Caenorhabditis elegans: one gene and its partner. The protein of the gene in region 1 purifies or fractionates together with the protein of each later gene. This does not show direct contact. Each region holds a gene or a part of one and is shown on either strand. Other genes may lie near its edges. The genes, in order: C04A11.2 and nhr-202.

Region 1 (5,435 bases):
TTCGAACGCCTAAAATTGTATTTGGTACTATTTCACCCGTCTTCATCTTACGTGTACCACATGTTATGCCCTCTCCCCTTCCTTTCTCTCCTCTCGCTGTCTCTCTCTCTCTGCCGTTACTCTTGCATGTGTACGAGGCCACTAGTATACTCTTTCGTAGCACGGATGGCCGAGTGGTCTAAGGCGCCAGACTCAAGCGATTGCTTGCCTCAAGTACGAGGTCTCCTGGGTGTTCTGGTACTCGTATGGGTGCGTGGGTTCGAATCCCACTTCGTGCAGATATTTTTGCAGTTTTGGTGGAACGGTCAGGAATTTGGTCAGGAACGTTAGTTGACAGAAACAACAAGTTAAAACTGTTTTCTTGTTTTATAGAGTTTGAAATAATCATGTTAGAATAACCATAACATTTTATTTGCTTTTTTCGGATTCTTAATTTAGCATGTTCCTCAATAAAACAAAGCAATAATAAAAACCGCCAAAATTTCATTTCAGTTGGGGGTTCTATCTGTAACATAACATTATAATCATACAGCTTTGTATTTTCAGCTCATTATTTTTCAATAAATGCATTTTGTTTCATTAAAAAATCAAATAATCATAACTATTGTTGTTATTACAAAATATGCTAAAAGCTGGAATGTACAACACTTTTTAATGAGATCAAAATGGCACAGAACATTTTCAATTTACAGGACAATACATTTTTGATTCGAAGCAGTTATTGGTGATATCGTGATCGAGAAGTGGATCTTGCTCTCTGAAATGTTTCAACCATTTGGCAAAGGAAAAATTGTGAACAACCTACCAAACTATGCGTTTGTGCAATGATTCTATTGGCCTTTCTATCAACATTGGCAATTCTTTGATGAATTCGGTTTTGGTAAGATTGGGATTTTCGAATATTTCTGAAAATTGGGATTTTTTTGTTTTGAGATAATTGTTCTCAAAAAACATACTTCATTGTCATCTCCTTCATATCTTCCTCATAAAAAGCTTTGACTGCCGTTGAATCAGCAAAGAGCTCTCTGCTAACACTTTCTACACTCCTTTGTCCACTGGCCACTGCTCTAGCTGCGAGCTAAAAATAATTGTCTTCGATTTGAAAAAAAAAAAAAAAAAACGTATCCAAAGACTTTTCAAGAAGTGCACTCACTCGTTTTCGATGCTCGATTTCTGCTCGTTTCTCAGACGCAGCTCGAATAATGCTTTGCCGGGCTTCGACGCGTTCGATGAATTCTGGGCGATTTCGTTCGAGATGAATTCGTGGCGGGCACGCTCGAGCCCACTGATCATCCTTCATTGGGGAAATGTTGAGATGCTCGATTGCTGCTTCACTGCGTGTGCGGTGGTATTCTAAAGTTAAGAATTAACTTGAAACTGTGTATGATTTTTCTGATATCACTGGTATCACTGCTGATATCACTGACATTCATTCTCCATAAGGTGTAACAAATATTTTAATTTTTTGCCCTACACCTTATTTGAGGTCTCACTTTCCAAAATAACCAGTCAAATCAATATTCAATCTCAAGTTTGCCAATTACGCCACTTACGGTTAACTTCAGGCTGCTCCTCATTACGATCTTCATTATTACTTTCTTCATCCACAAATAGCCTTCGTCTAGACTGTGATCTTCTAGAATTGTTAGCTGTTAATTGTCTTGGAAGTGTTTGTGATTGGTATCTTGCTGGACGCGAACGAGTTCCAATCGGCTCAGATTGAGGCACTCGGATCGTTGGAGGAAGTCTGGACCGGTGATTTGAAGAGGTTCCGGGCTGAAAATAAATTATTAAATAAATATAGGAGTAAGTCTGTTCAATTTTACAAAAACGTAGTCTAACTGTACGATTGTATAACATCTAAAAATCAAAAAGCTTAGTTTATGCAGGAACAGCAAAACAAATTATTTATGCAACTTGTCTAATTATTCCCATTTTGCCTGAACTTTATAAGTTTGCTTTTTATGTTGTAAAACTAACGGTCACTTGTGCTGCTGGGGATACGTTGCTGGAGCTTGTCCTATTTGTGACTGGCCTCACGTTTCTCGTCATATTTGGTGTTCCAGTAGGTGTTCTGTTTCCTGATGCAGCTCTAGTAGATGTTCTAGCAGACCTTGGCGTTGTTAGTTGTTGCAAAATATTTCTGACGACTGGAGTTGAGGTACTACTACTTGTGCTCGTACTGCCACTGGATGCCATATCTCGTTTGGTGGGCGTTACTCTCTGGACGCGTGTGCTGCTTTTTGTGACGCTACTCGCTGTTGACCCATTTCCATGTTGAGATTCAGAAGAATCCATTTCACTTGTTCTGAAAAAAAAACAATATTTTTTGAGAGACATTCTTGTTCACTACATACGAGTTGAGAGATTTCTTGAGAACTTGAATATATTGTGCCTGTTTTTCAACAGTTTTTCGAAGCTCCTGAACTTCCAACTTTAATTCTCTGCAGGTGCGACATGAAATGTGTAAGCTTTGCGTTGAATTGCACAAATCTGAAAATACTCTAACTAAGCCGTGTTTCACTTTTGGAGAGCCTACTTCTGTTTTCATCCTGCTCAGTATCCACAACAATAGTAGTGACATTTGGTTCTTCCGGACCTCTGCAATTATTATGTCAGTGTTGTATGTGCATAAATCAACGGAAAAGTAAAAATGAAAAAAAAAAGTAAAAAAAGTAACCTATGAGATCGAGGAGTTTTCAACGGAGTAGATGTGGATGGTAGGGGTCCAATACGTTGTTCAGTGGTTTTGTAGGAGCTCCTGAAATTATAATTAAAATTGACAATGAAGTATTTAAAAAATCACCTTAACTTTTTATACTGTTTAGCTTACGTTTGAGAACATATTATTTTAGCATGTTTAGATAATTTTCGTTACTCGACACATTTTTAGAAGTTAATTTTTAAACGAAAACGTGATGTATATTTTTGAATTCTCCGACTGACATGGCCTGGAAAATATCGATTATGTGCCGAAAACGTATAGTTTGAAATTGATTTTCTAAAAACGTCGTTCAATTTATTTAGTAAAAATAAGATTATAAAACATGAATTTCATTTTGATGGCGATTCGAAGGAAATAAGAGCTGTGACACGAGCTCAACCAAAATAAAGTTAAAAGTTACATGGAAAAATTATAATTATTGTCATATTGTATGCGTTTGATGTGTTTTTATTTTTTATTTTTTGTAAACTTTTTATTTTAGAAAACGTTTAGAATATTATCATTCTGAAATATAAAACAATTCTAAAAGTTAATAAACTTAAAACATACCAAAGTGTCATTGAGTCATTTGGATTCATATTTGATCCGTAAGCCGAGTCAACTGAACTGGTATCCGGGAAGTGAATTGAGATAGAAAAGGACGACAGGTGCGGTGCACTGGAAGGCGGTCTTGTGTCCTTGGTCCGAGCAGACGCTACCTATTAGCTCCTAAATACGTAATAGACTGTGTGAAACCGAGAGAGCACGGAGAAAATGAAATGAGGCAAGGAATACCAACAAACCAATTAGAACAGTGTCCTAATGCTAGGCTTGGATTTGAAATGGATAAAGGAAGAAGGTAAATGTGCAAAACAAGAACCGGCAAAACAAATTTGAAACCTGACAATTCAATAATGAATTCAATAATGTATACGACAATATTAATAGGTTTTTACAAGTTAAGGACCCTTTACGGCTAGCTAAAGAAAAACACACTCCAAAAACTTTGTCAACAAAGGAAATCCGGTGTGGATTTTGTTGATTTCAAAGTTCCCGATTCAGAGAAAAATTTTTGAAATTGAATACGGGATTGAAAAAAAAACAATTTTTCTTGAAAATATCAATAGCATATGAAACAAGAACGACCAAATTTAAACGCATCTAGTGCAAATATTCAGTCTTGATTTTGTGGAAAAATATCAAACTTGACTGTATCGTTAACAAGGTATGTTAGACTTTTTTTTTAAAATTACCTAGAAACTTACTAATTGACACAAAAGAAAAATCTTGTCAAATTTTAAATATATATTATTTTTCAGTAATATCATTTCTAACTCTTGCATAATGTTTTTTTTTGAAACCCTTTTCAAAAAATATTTCTAACTAACGCTATCCTTCTTTTCTCAAACAAAAGGCACTAGATTTACTATTCTCGTTTCGTGTTCAACGGAAAACATATTTTCAAGTATTATTTAAACAACGTTGAACTATGAAACTAGTTCAATTTTGACACAAAACACAAAAAAAATCAATAAATATCACAGTGAAGACAAGAAATATCTAGTGTGAGATAAGAAACTTGTTTTGTAACAAAAAAGTTTATTCCCCTTCTAAAATTTTATTAATAACCAAAAAACTTAATTGTGCTCTTTGGAGCCGACCCTATTTAAATGCACAACTCTGCCGCTGCCAAGGTCCGCAAACACACCACATGAGAATTGCGTACTATTCATTCAAATACGCCCTCCCTCCTTCTTTCTACTATCTCTTTTCACTGTTCACCTTTGTTTACCCTTTTTCGCCACGTTTGCTCTGCGCCCCTTGTCGCACTGACCATTTCGCTTGTTTTTCGACATTTTATCGATTTTTTGCGTAATGTTATTAGTGGCATTCTTGGAGTTCTTTTGGTGATAAGAAAATTGACGATCTCTAGGCCTGTTAGATTTGAACTGTACGTTGTGGAAATAAAAAAGTTCTGCTCCGGTAGGCAAAAACATGTTTCTTCAAAAAAATAGTTATTGTTTGTATATTCAAAACATTGGAAATTTCAAAAACCCGTTGTAAAATTTGAATAATCAGGGAACCATTTAGGAAATTAATGAAACTCCCGGAACGTTTCTTAGAATTTTAAATTTGCGATTTCTTTTTTTTTCAAGCCTGAAAGTCATTATTCAAAATGTAGAATGAGAACTTGAATTTTATTTTTTTTACGTTCTAAACACTTTTTCTTTATGATTTTCTATCAGTTTTTCTTCTTAAAAAATTGTATAATTGTATGAAATTGTTCTTCATATTGGCACTGCCCCTGCCCAATTCGCAAAACAAGTCAAATTTGACAAATGAAAGGTACGACTCCGAAAAATGTGTCATTTTGCTCCATGTTTCTGTTAGACTTGTTGACACTTATTTATTATTTTTTTGAAAAAAAAAATATCCGACACCTTCAGTATTACACCGAATCAACTCTAACAAATTTCTATTGTATGCCTTGTTAATAACCATAAAAAATGGACATATCTACTGGAAACATCTGATTTTGCCGAACGGAAATCTTTGATAAAGTTGAACTTCATACTTGTTGTTTTTTCTTTTGAAATCTCTCTTTTTTCTTCTGAAAACGTCTGTCTCAACTTTTTCAAACAAAAAGTGAAGTTCGCCAAGAACATTTCACTTTTAATCTTTTCTTAACTACTCATTGAACAGATGATCGCTGAATACATGTTGTTTGGTT
Region 2 (4,894 bases), on another chromosome or scaffold:
TTCTCGGGTATTCTGCGGGTGTTATAATGGACCTGGTAGTATTTACACAGCTTACTTGCTTTAGGGGGAATATCCTAAAGTGCTGGGGAACAAAATAAAATATTCAGGTTTTTTTAGAAAAAAAATCGGATTTTCCATAAATGAGCTGAAATTTTTGATGCTGAAAATAACAAAATGACACATGAAAATTTTAAAAATCCAAAAATCCAAAAAAAAAAAGTTTCAAAACTATTTTGAGATTTTGTGTATGTTTAAAAATAATGTCAACGAACAAGAACAATTACATTTTTCCAAACAAATTTTCTTTCAGAAACGAAAAATCTAAATAATATTTTTTGAAAAGTTTAACGATTCAAAAAAAATAGATAACGTCATTTTTCAAAGTAATTAAAACAAGCACCTCCGATTTTAAAAAAAGTTGTAAAGGTAGTTCCGAGCATATGACGAGAAATTTAAAAGAAGACGCAGACTCTACGAGAAATGTCTGATGTGGAATAATATAGTGTAGTTTGTAGTGCAAACAATAGGTGCGAAGAGCACTTGGTACTTTAGAAAAAGAGCAAAAATGTGCCAAGAATATAGGTGTTTATTTACAGATTATGAATTCGTTATTGGTAGTTCATAAATAATTCCGGATGGGAAAAGTTTACAAAAAACACTTCGAACACTTTCAAAATCTCCACATTTATTTGGTCTTGGTAGATGAATTGCTGGAAATTTCAGAGTTTTTTCCAGACAAGGTTTAATATAAAATACCTGAGCAATACTATTAAGCTTCATCAAAGCAGCAATCCTTCCGGAATAATTCGGGCGGGACAAATGGTTCAAGTAATAGTCGTGTAAATGATTTGATATAGAATCTTGAAATTGCTCAACGGCTTCAAGTATTTGCCCGTCACATTGTTTGCTAATTTGTTGGAAACACAAATGACATAGCATGTAACAAAGTTCCTCATCTGTTGGGTTGAGTTGTACCATCAATTCCAGCAGCTCTTCATGTTTGTTCCAATTTGAATCGATGCTGAAAAAATAGTAAGAGAGTAATGTTTTTCGAAAAGTTCGTAAAACAAAATTGATGAATTTTCAAGTCTTACGTTTTTAAGTTGGTGAGTTGTAGAGTGAAATTGGATTTTTCAAAAACATTTTTAAATTGGCCGCCAAATTGAGACTAAACTAAAAATTCGGGTAATTTTTTTCAGTCAATTTTTTCGGTTAATTCAATTTTATAAATTAAGTTTCAGCTAATTTTCAGAACAAAATCAAAATTTCAAGTTTGTATTACTCTAAACATATTTCTAGAAGTTTCCTGATTATTGTAGGAAACTCTAGAAGTTTCCAGAAAAATCTAAAATTTTCCAGATTTTTCTAGAAATTTCAAGATTTTTCTGGAAAGACCCGCTAACAACTTTTCTCAGAAATTTTAATTTTTTCGCCAAAATTGTATTCTTAGAAAATTTTCAGTTTCCTGCCGAAATATTTTTCTTTTGATGCGTCTCGCCACGATGGGACTCGCAACGATGAGTCTCGCCACAAATGGAGAGGCTCCGCCCATTGATGACGTAGTCAACAGACGTACACTATTTTTTAATATATAGGCAATGATTTAATTTTTTTAAAATAATGCTCACAATGCAAACTGCTCCGCTTTGTAATTTGAGCACCAAGATAAGTCGAACTCTACCGACTTCCCACAAGCCACTAGATCATTTTCCATTTGTAATACCATAAGAATATCATCACAATTCATCCGCTTTCTCATTTTGGCGGTAGTTGCCAGCTTTTCCAAACCATTCCAGACAATCCAAACTTTTTTAATAATCTCTATCTAAATATTTTTATTTATTTTTATTTTTATAAATAAAAAAATATTTTTATTGTAATTTGTACACAAAACATTGCAAAATTTTTAAACTTTACCTGAAATTCCGAAGAAAACTGTTGAAAATCTTCAAAGTAGGTGAACCACTTGGCAACTTTCAGCATATCATTTTCCCACATTGCAAACATTTCATCTTTTCCGAATTTTTCTAGCCGTTTCGTTACTTTTCTCTGAGACCCCCGGACTTGCTGTAAACCCAAAGCCAGCTTTTTCAAAATATTCGACGTTTGAATAGGTGTTTCAATGCCCTGAAGTACACAACTTTAGTTAAAGCTTGTACTAGCTGGAAATATCTTGCCTTTAGTAACTCCCCGTAGGACTTGTCAATCAAAAATTTGACATCGATATAGACCTTGGGATTTTGTGCATCTTTTGGTGGAGCAGTGAGAATTATAAAGCTTGGTCGAGCAAGGAATGTTTCAAGCGTCTGGAAATTGTATGTGCATGGCCCGACCTTGAGTTTGGGTTTTTGATGGTGAGGCGTGGAACCCGGAGGATGTCGGGCCACTTATTTCAGTCTCAATAACAATTTTCCGTTTTTTTATAAGACAACTTACCGGTGGAATTCTTCCAGCTAGACTGATGCATATTGAACTTCTCTTGTATGGGTCCCTTTCGAATTGAAAGTCTGAAAAAAACTAGTACTAATAGGGAGCCAGATCCCTTACTCTCAATTTTCATCCCAATTTCGAAGCATTTTTTTAATCGACACTTTTTACAGCTCACATATCCATTTTTGTAAAAATCGCAAACATTGTTCTTTTTACATGGCTTGAGATTGTTTGAAGCTCCGAATCTCCTGGAATTTTGTAAAATATTGTTAAAATATTAGAATTAGAAATTTACCTGAAAAACACCGCACAAGCTCGACAGGTGTACGCTCCGAAATGAATCCCATGGGGCGGCTTATAGCAAACCGGGCACTTTTTAGTGGTAGAAATGGTGAGGTCCGGTGGTGAGGAGCCGGATGAGCAAGGGGTATCCATTTTGTTTTCCTGGAATATGTATTTTTAATGTATTGTTTCAGCATAAATTAACCAGCGTAAAAATCAAATAAAGACATTTTCAAATCGGTGTAACCATATGATGAAAAAATTATTTGTTGAACTTTGAAGAGAGCGCAGAGAAAATGGAAGGACAAAACGCGTATTTTGTAGTGTATGTGTGGGTGCCCTACAGTTTGAAAGATCAAAGAGTATAATAATAGGAAAAAGTGACCTAATAAAAATTTTTGTCGACTTTAATGTAAAAAGTGGCATCACTATCTTCTAAATGCTCAAGAAACATAGGGTTTTAAATTTAAAAATAATGGTTTATTTATAGTTTGTAGTTTTTGTAGTTTGTAGTGCGTGATTATTTTTGAGCAAAACCCTTCATTTTTTAAAAACATTTTACAGAAATTTCAGCGCAAGGTTCAACGTTCTCAATTAATTTTCAGCAAAATTGAAGTTTTCGAAAAATTTGTAATTTTTTTTCAAAAATAGCTCGGCGAGAGCTGACGCAAAATTCAAAATTTTCAAACAATTCGGCGCGAAACTTAGACTTCAATATTTTTTCTGAAATTTACCGCGGAAATCTAATTTTTTCAAAAAAATAATTTTGGAATTCCTGAATTATGTCCAATATAGTATTATATTTTCACGCAAAATTCAAAATTTTATTCTATTTAAAATCCAGAGTTAAATTCAAATTAAAATATTTTATTCGTCGTTTTGCCGTAATAATAAAGCATGTTGAGATACAAACAAATGATTTTTTTTTAGAAAAAAAAAACATAATTTTTTGAGATCTTCCGCACTTCCATTGACTACCAATAATCCACAAATAATTCAGGATTTGAATACTCCACGAATAACACTTTGAACAGTCTCATCAGTTCACATTTCAGTCGTTCCCGCTGGACGTACTTCTGAAATTTCAAAAAAAGGTTAATTTTAGAATTCATAGAACAAAAAACCTGAAAAGCATTGTTGAGCTTTATCATTGAAACGATCCTTCCTGAGTAAGTCGGGCGGTTTTCATGGTTTATGTAGTAGTCATGTAAATGATCAGAAAGGGTGTCTTGAAGCTGCTCAACGGTTTCTTGAGTAAACCTGTCACATGATTTTTTGATATGTTCGAAGCAAATATGGCATAGCATATAACTGAGTTCTTCGTCTGTTGGATTGAGATCTACCATTAGTTGCACTAAATATTCGAGCTGAGCTTGATGGTCAAAGTCGAAGCTGAAAATGTTATTATCGTTGATCTCCGGGTATATGATAAGAAGCAGCCGACATTTATCGCAAGCCTCGATCGATGTCGGCCGCTGTGGATTCCAAAACTCACAACTGCAACTGCTCGGTTTTATAACTCGAGCACCAGGAAAGATCGATCTCGATCGACTGTTCACAGGCCACCAAATCATCGTCAATCTGAAGCACAACATTCGCACTTTCGCATGTGGAATTTTTTTTAGCATTTGCAGTATTTGCCAGCTTTTCCATTGCCGCCCAAATAGCCCAGACTTGCTTGATCATATCGATCTGCAAAAGTTTTTTTTTTCATTAGTATAAGTTTGATCTACCGGCACAAACCTGAAGATTATATGGAAGTTTCTGGAAATTGTCGAAATATGTGAACCATTTTGCAATCTTCAACATATCAGTTTCCCACATTGCAAGAACTTCGTCCTTCCCGAATTTTGACAGGATTTTTGTCACATTGCACTGAGTACTGCGAATTTTTTCCAGGCCTAGAGCCAGTTTTTTCAAGATGTTCGGTTGTCTGATAGGTGATTCGCAGCCCTGGAATATCGATTTTTCTTTGTTTCCGGGAGCATGGCAATAAGTTCTTGTTGTGGTCGGTATAAAAGTATTGGGGGAAGTTCAAATTTTCGAGGAAAATTTTGGCGGGAAAGACAATTTTTATGAAAAAAAATTTGCCGCGAAATTCAAATTTTATAAGAAAAAAATGTTTGACGGGAAGTTCAAATTTTGTAAGAAATACATTTTTGGCGGAAATTCAATTTCTCTT

Evidence for each region.
Region 2: the proteins of C04A11.2 (region 1) and nhr-202 fractionate together in Caenorhabditis elegans (co-fractionation; one large-scale study listed by BioGRID). This does not show direct contact.

The regions. Positions count from the first base shown.
Region 1 is NC_003284.9:13,665,396-13,670,830, forward strand, and holds C04A11.2 (uncharacterized protein), read right to left. Parts: upstream 3,434-5,435; 5' UTR 3,304-3,433; coding exon 3,275-3,303; intron 2,762-3,274; coding exon 2,681-2,761; intron 2,602-2,680; coding exon 2,540-2,601; intron 2,494-2,539; coding exon 2,358-2,493; intron 2,309-2,357; coding exon 1,981-2,308; intron 1,777-1,980; coding exon 1,554-1,776; intron 1,354-1,553; coding exon 1,154-1,353; intron 1,079-1,153; coding exon 957-1,078; intron 906-956; coding exon 806-905; intron 758-805; coding exon 719-757; 3' UTR 563-718; downstream 1-562.
Region 2 is NC_003283.11:460,571-465,464, reverse strand, and holds nhr-202 (Nuclear Hormone Receptor family), read right to left. Parts: upstream 2,878-4,894; 5' UTR 2,866-2,877; coding exon 2,726-2,865; intron 2,679-2,725; coding exon 2,548-2,678; intron 2,508-2,547; coding exon 2,437-2,507; intron 2,307-2,436; coding exon 2,178-2,306; intron 2,128-2,177; coding exon 1,918-2,127; intron 1,826-1,917; coding exon 1,629-1,825; intron 1,022-1,628; coding exon 757-1,021; intron 711-756; coding exon 609-710; 3' UTR 502-608; downstream 1-501. Other genes in the region: nhr-203 (Nuclear Hormone Receptor family), read right to left, coding at 3,687-3,788, 3,837-4,104, 4,208-4,404, 4,456-4,665.